2 linked regions of the Neodiprion lecontei genome follow. The protein of the gene in region 1 binds, or shares a complex with, the protein of each later gene. Links are inferred from orthologs where the notes say so. Each region holds a gene or a part of one and is shown on either strand. Other genes may lie near its edges.

Evidence for each region. The genes of interacting proteins can lie anywhere in the genome.
Region 2: the proteins of disks large 1 tumor suppressor protein (region 1) and G-protein-signaling modulator 2 are in contact, whole or in part, in a crystal structure (PDB 3TVT), measured with the Drosophila melanogaster proteins. The link is inferred for Neodiprion lecontei from reciprocal best matches to the Drosophila melanogaster genes dlg1 and pins. Residues at the interface, in NP_996406.1 of Drosophila melanogaster: Cys808, Val809, Pro810, Arg814, Arg817, Arg824, Asp825, Tyr826, Ile839, His842, Phe844, Ile845, Glu846, Ala847, Gly848, Gln849, Tyr850, Tyr855, Ser877, Asn879, Arg883; in NP_524999.2 of Drosophila melanogaster: Arg434, Met437, Gln439, Leu440, Asp441, Leu442, Ile443, Lys444, Ile445, Thr446, Pro447.

What each region holds. Positions count from the first base shown.
Region 1 is NC_060260.1:7,308,503-7,315,541, reverse strand, and holds the start of disks large 1 tumor suppressor protein, read left to right. Parts: upstream 1-2,967; 5' UTR 2,968-2,982; coding exon 2,983-3,298; intron 3,299-7,039. UniProt on the Drosophila melanogaster protein: During embryonic development, some isoforms are essential for proper neuronal differentiation and organization. Required for cell polarity; maintenance of apicobasal polarity.
Region 2 is NC_060266.1:5,769,006-5,777,087, forward strand, and holds the start of G-protein-signaling modulator 2, read right to left. Parts: upstream 6,463-8,082; 5' UTR 6,140-6,462; coding exon 6,089-6,139; intron 5,434-6,088; coding exon 5,065-5,433; intron 4,984-5,064; coding exon 4,841-4,983; intron 4,674-4,840; coding exon 4,434-4,673; intron 4,266-4,433; coding exon 3,794-4,265; intron 3,695-3,793; coding exon 3,671-3,694; intron 2,814-3,670; coding exon 2,208-2,813; 3' UTR 1-2,207. Other genes in the region: esterase E4-like, read right to left, coding at 7,655-7,916, 7,996-8,082.

The sequences.
Region 1 (7,039 bases):
GGAATTCCGTCGTGAGAAAAGTGTTTAATTGCAAGTGGGTTGTATATAGTTATATACATATATATATATATAGACGCAGACTCGCGCTGCCTTTGACGAGGGGAAAACTCAATTTCAAAAATTACAGTTGTAAATTTAAAAGTTGAGCCAAAGCTATGACGTACCTATATAATTAAAGAATTTACGATTATCACTGCACAGCCTCGACCTCGACGTGGCAGCAGATTACAATAATTGGCGAAAAGGTGGAAAGAGAGAAAGAGAATACTTTTAGAAACGTTGCTTATTCTGCCTCGAGCAATTCCCCGACTAATGACTATCCGTCTTCTGCCTCCCCTCCTCATCCATTGTCAATGCGCCTTGAGTAAATCTACTCGGAAACCTTCCGACTTTACGAGCGTGAAAATAATACGACAAAATATCTGGAGACAAAGGGAATGTGTCGAAGGTATTGCCGTACGTATTTTAGCCGGAAGACGTCTGACCTGCCTTGCGCCTTTGGAGGATGATTATCACCATCGTCGGCTTTAAAACGATGACGCCAAGCTTGCAAACAAAATTTTTGTGCGGATTAATTTTAACGGGCTGGAAGTTTGAATGAAAACTTTTCATCCTCGCTGCCACGTCGATGAACCGTTTCCAAGTAATTCGTAACGAAATTTCGCGGAAGTCTTCAGCGCTTAAGGGTTACTTTACATTCCTCGAAACTGCCGCCCTTGACACATTAACGACCAGCGAAACGTGTGCCAAACAAAGACAAAGCTCCGTGAAGAGGAACGGGCGAAAAGTGAAAACGAAAAAAAAATAAAAAAAAAATAAATAAATAATTGAAGATAAAAAACAAAAATAAAAAAGAAAAAAAACAGGAGGGGAGTCGGAACTTTGCAAAGTAGTACTAAAAAAAAAAAAAAAGGAGGAAAATGAGGAAGAGTGGGTATTTTTTATCGCGATAATAAAATAACCGAGTTGGGGATAAAAGTTGAACTTTAGGAGATGATCAAAAACAGACGGGGGCAGGGGAGGGGGAGGTATTTAGGAAGAGAAGAAGAGCCGTGCAGCATTGAGCGTTACGGGTTCTCGGGTCGCAATTTTGCGGTCTTGGAATCAATATTCAATTCGCAGTTTTCTCAAGCTCGGGCAACACCCTCCGGTTGGCGAAAGGCCCGGAGTGCTTTCCCAGCACCACCGCACGAAATCCCAGGCCAAGCCGAGGGTAGCTTATTAGTCTCGTACCATTACTCGAGCTCCCGCTGAAATGGCTCTCCTCCGTCTCTCTCCCTCTCTCTCGGACACTCTCTCTCCCGCTTTTGCGCCTCTCCGCGACCCGGCCAAGCCGACTAAGATGCAACCTTAAATCAGGATATAATTCTTGAAATAACGATTAACAGGCGAAATCGCCGCGAAAATCCTCTCGAGGGCCGATCGTAAGTTAGTCGAAATAACGCCGACGTATCGGGGGTGGTTCGACTGACGATGGAACGGACCTTGCACTATACGTCGAGTGTTTCCCTTTCTTGTCCACTATTTTCCTCACCGTCGCCAGGAACCAGCTATACGTTCCTTTCGTTCAAAAACACGCTTCCTTACTCTCGCCTTGAGGATAAATTTATCGGAGTCGTAGAAATAAATCTTCCTCAGAACGTCGCCGACCGCTCCGCCCTTTCCATCCCCATTTTTTCACATGTCTACAAGGACATGCCCAACGCACAACCCGGCAGGACGGCTCCGAACTTATATATTTGTATTCACGCCGGATAACCCGCAGCCAAGTTATAAACGCGTTCATGATGTTGTTACGAGCACTAAAAACAAAAATAATAAAACTTTCTCTTCGTTTTCTATAACGGCAACATAATATTTCGACGTCGATGTCATTTTTCTTCATCGTCGTTTCGAACGCCAATCAACTACTTCGCGTTTACGATCGAGTCGTCAAAAAATAACGAACGAATCGAAGAAGCGTAAAATGCCGGATACTCGTGGCTGAATATCCGCGTTATCACCATTGAAAATCGTTCTCTCTCTATTCACCGCGCTTTTACTTGCATGAAATAAATAAATAAATGAATAAGATTTTCCACCGTTCTGCAGTCTTTACTCGAACGAAGTAGGGCGGAAGGTGAATGTTGCTCCAAGAATGGGGGAGAATTTGTGTAACTTGTTGTACCAGATTCGACCCTAGGCAGTGGAATTGACCAAGTTTTAATTGCGTGTCCTGCGAATTACGGGAGAGGGATTAAAAGGAGTCTATCTCTCGCACGTGTGGGTATCAGGAGGGCTGTGTTTCTACGGTTTTGTACAATTTATGGAAAATCCCTGAGTGTCGGGGCGAGGTTTTCACCCCTGGTAGATGGTTCCTCGCGGGATACAATTTCATCGCAGATTTTACTTCCAGACACCTGGTCGCTGAAATGTTTTCCCCCTTTCCTTGTACAAAGGCTGCGTGAATACGACGTGAAATTATTTGCCCAACCCTGAATGGCGATCGTTCAGCTGAAAAATTCTCAGGGAAAGCGACGAGATTCTTTGCATTGTTAATTGATCAGCGCTTAGCGCTCTTTGGTACTCTCAAAGTATCTGAAAAAGATTCTTCAATTATAAATTACAGCGGGAGTAAATCCCAGCTTATTTTCTATTTCGTTGATCCGTAATACGAGAACAGAAGCCTCCGGTGGATGAGACGAACAGACGTAGATGAGAACTTGCCAAATTATACTCAAACAGTCTGGAGAGTTCGGAATTCTTTCCACGAACACACGAAAAGTCAGAATACCAGTCGAGAATGACTCGAATGAAAAGGGCTCTGCGAAGATGAAGGTAAACCGAGGATGCGGAAGGTCCGAATCGTCGCTGACTCGTCGCAGCGAGTCCTGAAGACGCTCTTCCAGTGCGGTGGTTAAACAGTGTCGAATAGTGCGTTATCCGGTGATGTATCACGGAATATCGGTGGAGCATATAATCGATGACTGCGTTTCGGCGAGAATGACGGTTCCGTCGGGGGAAAACGTTCCACGGGTTGACATGGCTCTATTCGGTATGGTCTGGCTGCTTCGCGTTCGCTCGGAGATGCGCAGATGCGCCAAGTGCAGGCGTGAAGAGATTTTGGCAGCCCAGCAGGAGCACCAAACCAGCGTACAGGATTCGAGGTCCACTATCCACCAGCCGAACTCGGCTACTCACCAGGCTTCCGACACCCTCAACACTTCCGCCACCACCCTCTTCACCCTCGACACACCCGGAGCCTCTGGTCCTGCTGGCAGTTACTGCGAGGTGCACGGATATATCCCTCCGAAAGAAGGTATCGCCACTCTCGATTTCAGAAATCCTCCCGCGAGGAAAGTATCCCAGGTCGATCTCTGAAAGTAGACTAAAAACTAAGCGACGCCTACTTTTCTTTTCTTTTTTTTTTTTTTTTCTTTCACGTATGCCATTAAACGCCTTAAGGGGGTGAAACCACCCTTCAAAGCAAGGCACGCAAGGACGATTTGTTAGCTCGTTTTTTTATTTTTTTTTATTTTGTAATTGAGAAAATAACATTTTTCATTTCTCGTTGCGAGTTCTTGTGGGTGAAACAGCCTTTAAAGCGTTTAACGGTAAATACAAAAAATACGCTTAGCTTTTAGTCTACTATAACATATTTATTAAAAAAGAAATCAAATCGGTGAGATCGACCTGGGATACCTTCCTTGTCAGTCTGACCGTAAGTTTGTCATCTCGGGATGAGAAATTTAGCGAATTAAGCTTTTCAGTTGCAGTATTTTTTTCGATCACAAAGCATGTTTCACCTTGCCAATCCTCAGATCTGTAGCTGAAGTTAATGTTTCTTTCCAAGTCAGGGAAGGAAATGAGAAATTAAAGATTTCATCTCATATTTATTTCAAGTCGAATTGAGATGTGACAAGGGTGAAGTTTTTTCAAATTCTGTTAATGGCCACCCCAGTAAACAACACGGAACTTTCTCATTCCGCATTGTCTGTTCGTTGAATTTATGAAATCCCTCAGTTTGACTTGTAAATGTTAATCGATACGATATGCAAATTTTACGTTTTATACAGCCAAAATAAATTCAAATTAAATTTGAATAAATTATACCCGATGCGCAAAGAATGCGTGTCGAAATGAATTTAAATGTATTCAAAACAAAATGGATCTCTGTTATAGTCTGGTAACGTATATATACACAGCTCTTAAACTCGGAAGTGGTATTTTACACAGCTGCCTCGGAATTCAAGGGTGTACATGCGGGGTCGTACTTGAAAAATCCATGCATTTAAAGCGAACAAAATTATTCTCCATGTAGGAATAGATACACCCTTAAATTCATTTAGAATGTATGAATACCGAATCATCTGATACCTGTATGCCAATTCTACGTCGGAAATTTCGTCTTGTTTTGTATTTCGGGACGCCGTTAGGTGAACTCGTTCGCGAAGGTGACTCACGTACGTAAACAATTATGTAGCGTGCCCAGTTTCGCTACTCGAGTTTCAGTCTCGAATACCGAGCTGCGACGAACGGACGCGGAAGAATTTTTCCACTCATTAATAGTAATTGCAGTGATCTTTTGTCGAAGGGACTTATTGTTTCACAGTCTTACTGTGATTGTAATTAAATAAGATTGGTAGTGTGTGTCAAGTGTTCAGTGGCAATTGCAGTTATCCATCTGAAGTGAGAAAATTCTGCAGATCATTCCACCTCCGAGGTAATCAGTTCACGAGTAGATCGTAAACAATAAAATTTCAACTAAGTTACAAAACTGCGTTACGATAGTTTCGAGAGTATATTGAAAAGATTTTGTTATCGCTTTCTTCTCGTTGATCGTTATTACATGTATCGGCAATTTTGACGAATCAAGCTTGACTAAAGTCTCAAATTATCGCGAGTACTGGGCTTTAATAATGAATAAATATGCCATCAGGCACCAAGAACCGACGATTTGAGTTATATTCGATCAAACTTGATCCATCGAAATTACAGGTAAATATCACAACCGTGGCTGAATCGATGCGCTCCTCCAACTCATTTCTCGCTTGATAATTAATAGGCTCGAACTACGAAACGTGTTTATCGCAAACGTGACTAGAGGCAGGGCTGCGTGAGATGCAGCGTCGGCTTTGTTTTGGCGGATCGCATTGTCTACCTTGTAGCAACTAGGTTGCATATAACTTGCGTATGCGCTTGTCTATGATCTTCCTACCTATCGCAAAGGGAGGCTCTACCTGACACTGAACTGACACGAATAGAACTAGGCGACGATGTCTTCGTCACGTTGCTGCATCGGACGTTCAAATCTGAAGGTATGTCTGCGAACGCGTCTGCATTCACATCCGGTGCATACTTCTAGTCAAATTGACGTAACGAACGGCGTAAATCAAGTGGATCGAGCAGCGTGGGAAACATTCTTAGCGAAATATTTTCACTTGTGGGCAATATTAATCGCTTGGATTCTGCAGGAATTATTTAAGATTAAAAATTGAGATTACGAACTCGTTTAACGTGATGAAATTTGTTCACTGTGTTTCAGGTGAGTACGAGAAACTCTTCGCCTATGCAGATGTGTTGGTTTTATTGAAAAAGAGAGCTGCAGTGCTTGGTAACGTACATGTAATATGCATTGGTGAAATAGTGATAATTATTAAATTTCTTGTGCAATAAGCACATCAGTGTTTATAGCGTATTATCACCCTCGTGAAGTCGGTATAATTTTGAGATAACGGGCTGCACGATTAATCTGGCGCGAACAAAACGCTCGTTTGAAGGGAAGTAGAACTGCTGAAAAAACGACGTTTCTATAACGCAAGCATGTTTTAACCCTAATAGGTCACTTGGGGTGAATTTCACCCCCAACATTTTTCAAACTCCTCGAAGAATCCCTTAGTCGTGGAAATGGGCCTCGTGGCGCCGTTCGTCACGCGAAATGAAGACTTTTTTTCGACATTTTTGGCACTTTGTTTGACTTTGCCGATGTTTCACAATATTTAAACAATCAATTTTGACATTACGCGATCCTAACCTCAAGTTCGTGCTTCGCGAACGAACGCGTAACATGCTCTTGTTATGGAAGGAAGCGTGCGTAACAAGGAGTTCTTTTCGTTACAATGTACTGTTCTTCGCAACGTCTCGAATAGTCATAAGCCTCTACGATGAGTGAGACTACGAGGTCGCTGCAAGTTACGGTTCAAGTTGTACCAAAGAGTATTTTAAATTGCCCGCATTTCCTCGCCGCCCTCTCGACTCTCTCGACTCTCTCAGTTGGTGGAAAGTTTTCTTTTCCTTTTTACAGCTATTGTTATTACCATTATTCAACTTCCTATTCGGTGATTTCGGGCGTTTTCAGAGGTACTTTTGAGCCACTCTTGTGAACTATTAGGCGCTCTCGGGGAAACTCTTGGTATTTACACTCGCCCGGTTGCACGCGTTCGTATCAACGTGCTTTCGTACATTCGTGCTCACGTCCTTCCTCGACCCAGTTATGAAACTGTTTCTCTACGGGCGTTATACCGCCCGGCTATACCTACACAATTGCGAAATGTTGTATTACACTTTAACGCTGAAAGCCTGACTCATTCGCCAAAGTAACGACAGTGTTTCACTCGGCTAACTCCACCCCTTCAACCCCATGCTCACCCTCAAATTCACACGCTGCGCTTCTCGGTGACCCGCGAACACGAGAACCAAACGACGATTCCTGATGGATTGGGAACCAATTCCTCATCCCTTGAATCAGGCAATAGCCTAAGGTCCCGAATCATTCGGATACTTCGTTGGCGTGTTTTTACAATGTTCATCTCAGCATCCAATTCATTGCACAGTTGTGAAGTTGATTATTATTTCTAAAGCTATACGTCAAAATTCCACCTCGGTCCCCGTAACAGAGCTTTTCATTAATGAAATCAATCACGCTACTCGTTAGACCGACGCCAGCGAGCGAATTTCGTTTCATCGCATAAATGATGATGTTAAATCGTCAATTTGACTATGAAAGTCAAAAAAAAAAAAAAATAATAAAAAAAAATTCTCAGCCACAAACAATTCATCT
Region 2 (8,082 bases), on another chromosome or scaffold:
CAATACCTTCTTATTATTACAATTGAAGTTTGTTTATATAATTGATCAAAAAGTTCGTATACTAGTCAGTTAGATTATCTTTCAATTTTATAGCAGTTTAGGAAAATGAATTATTAATTTACTTCAACAATCGAAGTTTTACCTTCACTATTACGGAACCCATAAATTTCGTGAATCAAAATGCTTCTTCCTGCGTTTAAGAATCGATTTCTTTTCATTTGCCATCTTAATTAAACACTCGTTCAGTCTTTGAACAAAGTCCACATCTCAGAACTTATTTCCAGTAACGTGTTATAAATATATAGCAGGCATAAAAAGGCATTTGCTTTAAAAAGTTTGATCGTTTCGTCTATGCATAGTTCGCATTATGAATTTCATAGCTTTACAATAAAATTTAATCCATATTGGATACTATAACTTGGCTTGTTGAATGACAGCTAAACAGTTAACATGGAGAGTAAATTTCATCTGAAGGAAGAAACACACATTTGATTTACTCTCAAATTTAATTTCTTTGCCACTTAAGTTAGCGACAAGGCTGTAAATATTTTAATGACAACTATCTCTGAGTATATTTTTAGCAATAACAACAAACAGTAGATTGTGCGTCCTAATTATTAAAATATACATGCGTTGGAAAAACTACCTCATTCGAAAAAAAATTACGAAATACGAAAAAGGATTCTTTACTATATATTCTCTGTGAAGAATAAATTTAATCAGTACTTTGGAACGATTAATAATAAATGTAATATGGTATTTTATTTAGTGATCTTAGCACCGTCAAGACAACACTACGCTATCCGATGGGATTTGTCTATGAAGATAACTGATTACTGCAAATGTCTACTGTTTTGCATGTGCTTTCATCATGTAATATCCGGAGTGGCATCAAATGTTAGTTTGAATTTTATATAATGTTTCAAATCAATATAACGAAAAGTAATCGAAATTTAGTATAGTAATGAATTCGGAAAACTGCATTGAATGTACATAATACTACGTATGTACATACCACCAATTACAAGGGCGAATACATATTTTTACAATTAAGAAGCTGGATTTCTAGAGTTAGGCTGTTGAAGAAATTTGCTGACGCTCAAATGGGACAAAAAGAAAAAAAGAGACCTATTACAGACAAAACGTAGAAGTAATAAATTGATTAACTTACTTTTCATATTAATAATACTACTTTAACTATATTAGCTTTATGGCTTTCGGTTCATTCGATTCCTGCATTGGATATAGGTACATATCTAGTAGTACCTTTATTTTTTATGTTTGAATGATAATCCTTATGCACTACTCTTTTGGATTGTGAATGAGAAACAAAATATTCAAGATTCATTGTAACGGTGTTGAAAAAAGTCAACAAAACCGATCAGTATCCTACTCCACATTTTTCTAACGTTTTCTACATATATTTTACTGTTAATAGATTTTGTCGCAGCATTTATACAATTTTATACACATCTATCACAAAGATAATTGTAATCTCTTGTGCAGTACTCTGACTTACATCTCAGTATATGTCCGTTTATCCAAGAGTCTCATGATACTTTTTTGGCACGATTTCAATGATAAATAATCAATTATTAGGTGGTTTAAGAAATTTGATAGTGTCGTTTGATTTTGCTTTCCATAAAAGTATTATATTTGGTTCACGGCACTAGTTTACTAAATTTTCACCATAACCTTGTGACAAAATATCTCCTTTTGATGTAAATAACATGGAAGATATCAAAATGTTTCTTTTTAATGTGACAAACTGTGGTCAAAGAAGCAAAGTTGGGCAGAAAACAAACCATCCTATTTGAAGGGTCGAAATGCGATTTGGACAGGACACAGAGTTTTAATTAAACTTTAGGGAGCACCACACAATTGTAGGTAGAAGAAAAGTCACCCGATTGACTATTTTGTGAAAAGAGAGGAAATTAGCATGCGAGAACTTATAAAGAATCTATTGTACAAATTTTTATCGACCACCTAGCCATTGATTACATTGTAAATGTAACATTTTTGAACATATCATTTGTAATCACCATGAGTTGATTTTTACAAAATTCAAATGGTTACACCGAAAATTTGTAGTTACTCATGTTGATTATACAGTGGTGATACCTTTCCAAAATGTTATTTTTTCAAAGATTGCTTAGTATTAATTTATTATTATTTTCATCAAATAGTTGGTATACTTACTTACAGTTTTAATGGCCTTTTGCTGGTCCAGAAGCTCGTTGATCTTCCATGCGACCAGCCTGCAGTCTCTGAATTAGGGCAAACAGATCTTCTTCGGGTACGGTAGTTCTTGATGGGGTGTTTCCGTTTCTTCTTTGGTTTTGTTCCTCCTCTGCATCGTGTAATGTTGAAGCAGCTGGCAAAGGACTACGTTGATCCTCTAAACGTGAGCCTTGGCATCGCACCAGCATTTCAATAAATGAATCATCAGCTTCCTGCCCAATTGGCTGTGGGGGAGGCCTATTCGCTGACTGATTGTTCCTGTTTGTATTCAATCCTGGCAAGCAAGGCAGAGTTACACGCTGCTCATCCATTCGCTTACTTTGCATTCCAGCTATTAGCTCCAGTAAATCTTCTCCTTCTTTCTCTTTTTCTGGAGTCGCCACTCTTGGCCTGGGTCTCGGTTTTTGATTGGCATTTAGCACACAGCGCTGATCATCCATTCGACCTGATTGAAATCGTGATAGAAGTTCGAAGAAAGATTCTTCTTCTTCTTCTTGCGAAGGCTGTGGTGCGATTCCGGCTCTAGCAGGCAGAGGCTCACCCATATCTTTTTGCTTACCATCTGGAGTCAACTGGATAAAAATTTGGATAATGAATTACAATAACTTCAGATTGTATACATGATGGATAAAGGGAAAATTTATCAATTTTCAGTCAATAATACATGTTGATCAACGTCTTCGTTTTCTGAAATGTATAAGCATTGTAACATGAGCTGAATCTGAAGGTAGCCAATTTAAATCTTTTGCGACAATGGTTTTACTTGAGTTGAAGATGCTTTGCACAAAATTTGAAAATGCTAATGTTTAATAAGAGGTTTAACAGGAATTGTTAGGAAAGCTTGACGTGTGATGATTTTTAGAACGATATGTTTTCATGGTCTAAAAATATTATTCTGTTGTGACCTTTGTTTTCTGGTCACAAGAAGTAAAGTAACACAACCTATAGAGTTGGGCCATACATTTTTCCTGAACTGATCACCGGAAAAATAGTTAAATTGACTTACAATTAGCTATTCCATCCATACCGTCAATTACTCTAATTAACAAGGTTATTCGATATTTCTCAAAATTATAATAAAATGTTAAAATGAAAACTGATACTGTTCTTACTGAATAACTTTCTGTTATTCAATACTCAACTTTATGTTGCCTTATAGATTCTATGCATAATGAATGGAACAACAAGATAGGACAAGATTGGAGAAAAAATGATATTTGTGAAATGTGTGCAAAGAAAAATTTTCATAAAAAAATTTCCTTGATATTGCCTTGCAAAGAAAAATCACTGGGGTTTTTCGACAGTTATTTTCTATATTACCAGACTCTTCGAACGTTGTATTGTTTACTGAAAATTGGTAGTTTTACTTCTATCTGGTTATTCTACATATTAATACACAATAATCTTTGTTCAAAGAAGAAAGTATTACCGGTTCCATGGTCCTTGTAAATAACTATATGCAAGGAAATACCGAATAATTACAATAAATTCGGTTATTTTAGAACTATTTGCAGTCTAGAGATGCATTGAACAAAAACATTCTATCGCTCACCTTGATCAGATCCAGATTGTCCATGCTCTGTCTTCTCAACCTGTATCTACCTGGCGAAGAAGCCGCTATAGCCGAGGCTTTGCTCGTTGGGATTAAATGCATTCCGTTTCCACTCTCCGCTTCTCCGTCCCCTTTTTCTAAGCCTAAAAGTTTCTTCAGATCGGTAACGTTCATCTGAGCGGTAGCTTGACCCATTGGATCGTTCAACTCTTTAGAAATATTCAAATGTAGGCTGGCAAAGTGCAACGCTTTCTCATGGTTACCCATTGCTGAGTAAGCATTTCCCAACGACCAACAGGCTCGACCTTCTCCAACTCGATCCATCAGCTGTTGCGCAATGGAAAGATGACGGAGATGGTAGTCTACAGCAGCTTGGTAATCGCGGAGGAGCGTGTAGGTATTGCCAAGGGAATAACACGCTTGTGCTTCTACCGCTCGGTCACGCAATTCTTGAGCAAGGACCAGCGTACGTCTGTGAACAAATTTTGAATTTTAATTATTTTAACATGTAACGAAGTAACGCACCTTGAGAAATTTTGTACAGTTCAATAGCAGTTTCTCTGAAAATGGATCAGGAGTTATCAACCTGTGGTATAACAAAATTTCAAAGTTCTTCGGCTTCAACCCGCTGATAACTTACTTGTAATGTTGAGCTGCTTTTTCAAATTCTCCGAGAAATATATGCGAGTTCCCCAAATTGCTGTTGGCTCGTCTTTCCGCAGCTTTATCACCAAACTCTCGTGCAATTTTTAATCTTTCATTGTGGTAATGAATTGCTTGTTGAAAATCACCCAGCAAGTAAAATGTGTTTCCCAAGTTTCCACATGCTCTCCCTTGTGCAGCTGTATCGCTCAACTCTCTCATCAGCTTCAAATTTTCTCTAGGAAATCACAATTGTTCAATCAGGTAATTGGATACTAAAATGTTGCCACTACTGCAACGCATTCATTTCAGAGCAAAAAATATTAAAAAGCCGCGGTATCCAGTACGTATATAATATTACTGAATTTGAAGACAAGCTATTCTATAGATGTAAAAGTAACATACTCGTAGTAATGAACAGCTTCCTGAAGACACTGTCTGACATCCTCAGGAAATTCTCCTGGATCTTGCTGTCCGACTCTGCCAATTTGTTTACCCTTGGCGTGATAAACATTTCCGAGATTGTAAAGAGCTCGACCTTCGCTGAGCTGATGCATAAAAAATGCTTGATTAAAAATGAGAATGCATGAGGAAGGAAGAGCGGAACAGAGGTGAATAAAAAATCTTACCTTATCGCCTAGTTCCCTCGATATTTCTAAATGCCTTTTACAGCATATCGTAGCTTCGTCAAACTTTCCCATAACTTTCAGAGTATTTCCAAGATTTCCGCTCGATTTAGCTTCCCCTAATTTATCTCCCATAGTTCTTGCCAATGTTAAATCATGGTTGTGATACTGCATTGCTTTGACGTAATCGCCAAGATAAAAGTAAGCATTTCCAAGTTGGCTGTAGATCGCGCTCAACGTTCTTAGGTCGTCCGTTCCAGCCTGTATTGCTGCTTGAAAAAATGCAACACCTGTGCGGCAATCGCCCTCCTTGCAAAGACGCTCGCCTTCAAGGGCCAATTCCAAACACATGTTGCTATCTCCCCCGCTATTCTGTAAAGGACAAACTCGTTTTATGTTTTTACATAGTTTAGCCAATTAATTAATGTTGGTAAAGTATTAAAAGCAACGATTAAACGCGAGTTACAAGGTATTCTTCTGCATTTACTCTATTTTTACCAATTTATTGAGGATATAGAGTATATGGCAATTTTGCTTCACTTGAAATTGTTTAGTAGAACAGCAATATTGTTCCTGTAAATCTCATAATCCAGCTTATTGTAACGAACATAAATAGGGTATCGTTCTCTAATTGAAAATCAAATTGTTACGTAAGTCAAATTGGGGTTCAGAGTTATTTTGACTAGAATAATGTAACGAGACGCATGATGAGGGAGATTAAGTTTAGTTACCGTTAATAACAAGTGAATAAACAAAAAAAAATAGTAAAGTACTTGATTATATTAATTTTTTGCAGGAATAAGAGGTGAAGTTTAATTTTCATTTTGAGAAAAATGCAAAATGTAAGAGGATTAGGAAGGCAGTGTATCCTATGACAAGTGGGAAAGAATTCTCTGTGAACAGCATAATAAATGCCCATATGACTCAGTGCACGTAGGTAAGGCTCATATATATATATATATATACTGAAGAATTTAAGTGACAAGTGACAAATAATGAGGTAGAAAAGGACATGTGATTCACTTACTTGACCGTCTACTGAAAGATTTTCCGCGCTCGCACTGTGCGACATTTTCATTGGTCGAGTACTAGCAGGTTATAAGGATTTTTGAAGGTAAGAATAAACAATTTGTTATCTGGCGACGAATTGTTAAGTGTAATTTGACGTGAGCTAAGCTTTACGTGTACGAGGCACTCCCCTTCGTCAATAGATCGTCAATTAGAAAGGTCGAATCAATACAGTTTAGCATTTTTTTTGGAAATTATCTATTAGTTGTTGCGGTAAATAAAAATTATTTATTGTTATACCAACACTCTCACTTGTTTACGGCAAATTCACACGGATATCAACGCGTCACCCTAACCGCGCATCGACACTATGGCGCGTTTGCGACTTCGCGTACAATTTCCTATTCAATTTAGTTTGGGGGGTTTGGGGCCGGCTTGTAGTACGCATCACTGTAACCAGACGGCTCTGAATGCAAACGGTCGTATTCGTGGTGTTCACGTTGTATACAGGGGTGCGTTCCGAAATTGGGTGGCAGCGCTAACAGTTCCCTAGGACAAAGGCAGAGCTACTGATGAACTCGACAATGCAAAAAAAATAAAATATTGTTAACAGCAATGGAAGGTAATATCGGAACGCACCCTGAGTCTCGTATGCAATGCACTGACTGAATTACAGGTTGTGTTCCGAAATTGGCTCCAAGTGTTAATCATCTTTTATCGCTTTTGCGCTTTCGCGTTGGGGAGTAGCTCTGTCCTTGTCCTAGGGAGTTCTTAGCACTGCCACCTAGTTTCTGAACGCACCCTTAATATAAACTATTTGAGGTTCAGAAATGATGTTTCACGTCGAACAGCAAAAACATATTATAATTCACTAAGTTTACCCATCCTTCCTGCACTTTTAGTGTGTTTAACTTGTACAGTTTAATAATTTTGTTTAATTTTATTAAAGCATCATGCGCCGTTTATACAATGTACAGATTATTAGTGGTGTGCATAAGCATGGTACAAATTATACATATAATCAACGCATAATGTGTGAAACGATCGTACGTAAACGTAGTAACTCTCTAGTAGTAAGCGCTTTTCACTGGTTGCACACGGAGCGCAACGACCACGGTTGTATAATCGTCGCAACAACTGCGCTTTCTCTAGTTTTTAACCAATAGCAGAAGAAAAATTCTAGAAAAATCGCACTCAGTATGCATAGGATGTAAGATCTGACTGGAATGACCATATCCATGCTTATTGCTTATGATTATTCCATACTAGTGCTAGCTAACCCAACTCTAAAAAGATCCGAATCCTGCAACGGTAATCGAAGTTTAAACTAAGTTCAGCCTAGCTCCAAGCCTTACAGAAGAAATTGAACGCCGTTCAAACTGTATCGGAGAAAATGGGCGTGAGTGTCAGCATTTTTTAATCAGAAGATTCACATAACTGTTGGAAATATCACAAGATGGAATAAAACTAACGAACATCCCCCTTTCGTCGTGACTCTACTATTTATTTAATACTGATTATACTGAGGTTTATATTTCAGTTGTCTGCCAAAGACTCCATTTTTTTATCCATTTCTTCATCGCTGTTACAAAAATATCTTTGAAAAAGATAACATAAGTACGAATAATGAATAAAATTTGGATGTTATGGCATTTGAGCCGTTTGATAGGACAGTTAAGGTCTTTGGAGTTTCTTTTAAGGTAGCCCAAAATTTCATTCGCTCCTCAAAGAAAGAATGCTGAACTTTGAGCGAAACTTCAGATCCGTTTCCTATTTGAAGATAGTTTCTCTCTACAGCCGAAAATGGTTTCCATATTGTGCCGTTTGAAGCCAAAGTCGTCGGTGTTCTGAAAAATCAATTCTTTAACACACTTTGCCAATTAAATTAGTGAAATAATAGCAATTTACTGATTAGTAACGGTTTACCCATTGGTTGCAAAGGAGGTCCACAACTGAACCATGATGTCTACGATTTCCAAATCTCTTCTGGTCGTGGTTTTGTTCAAATTTAGT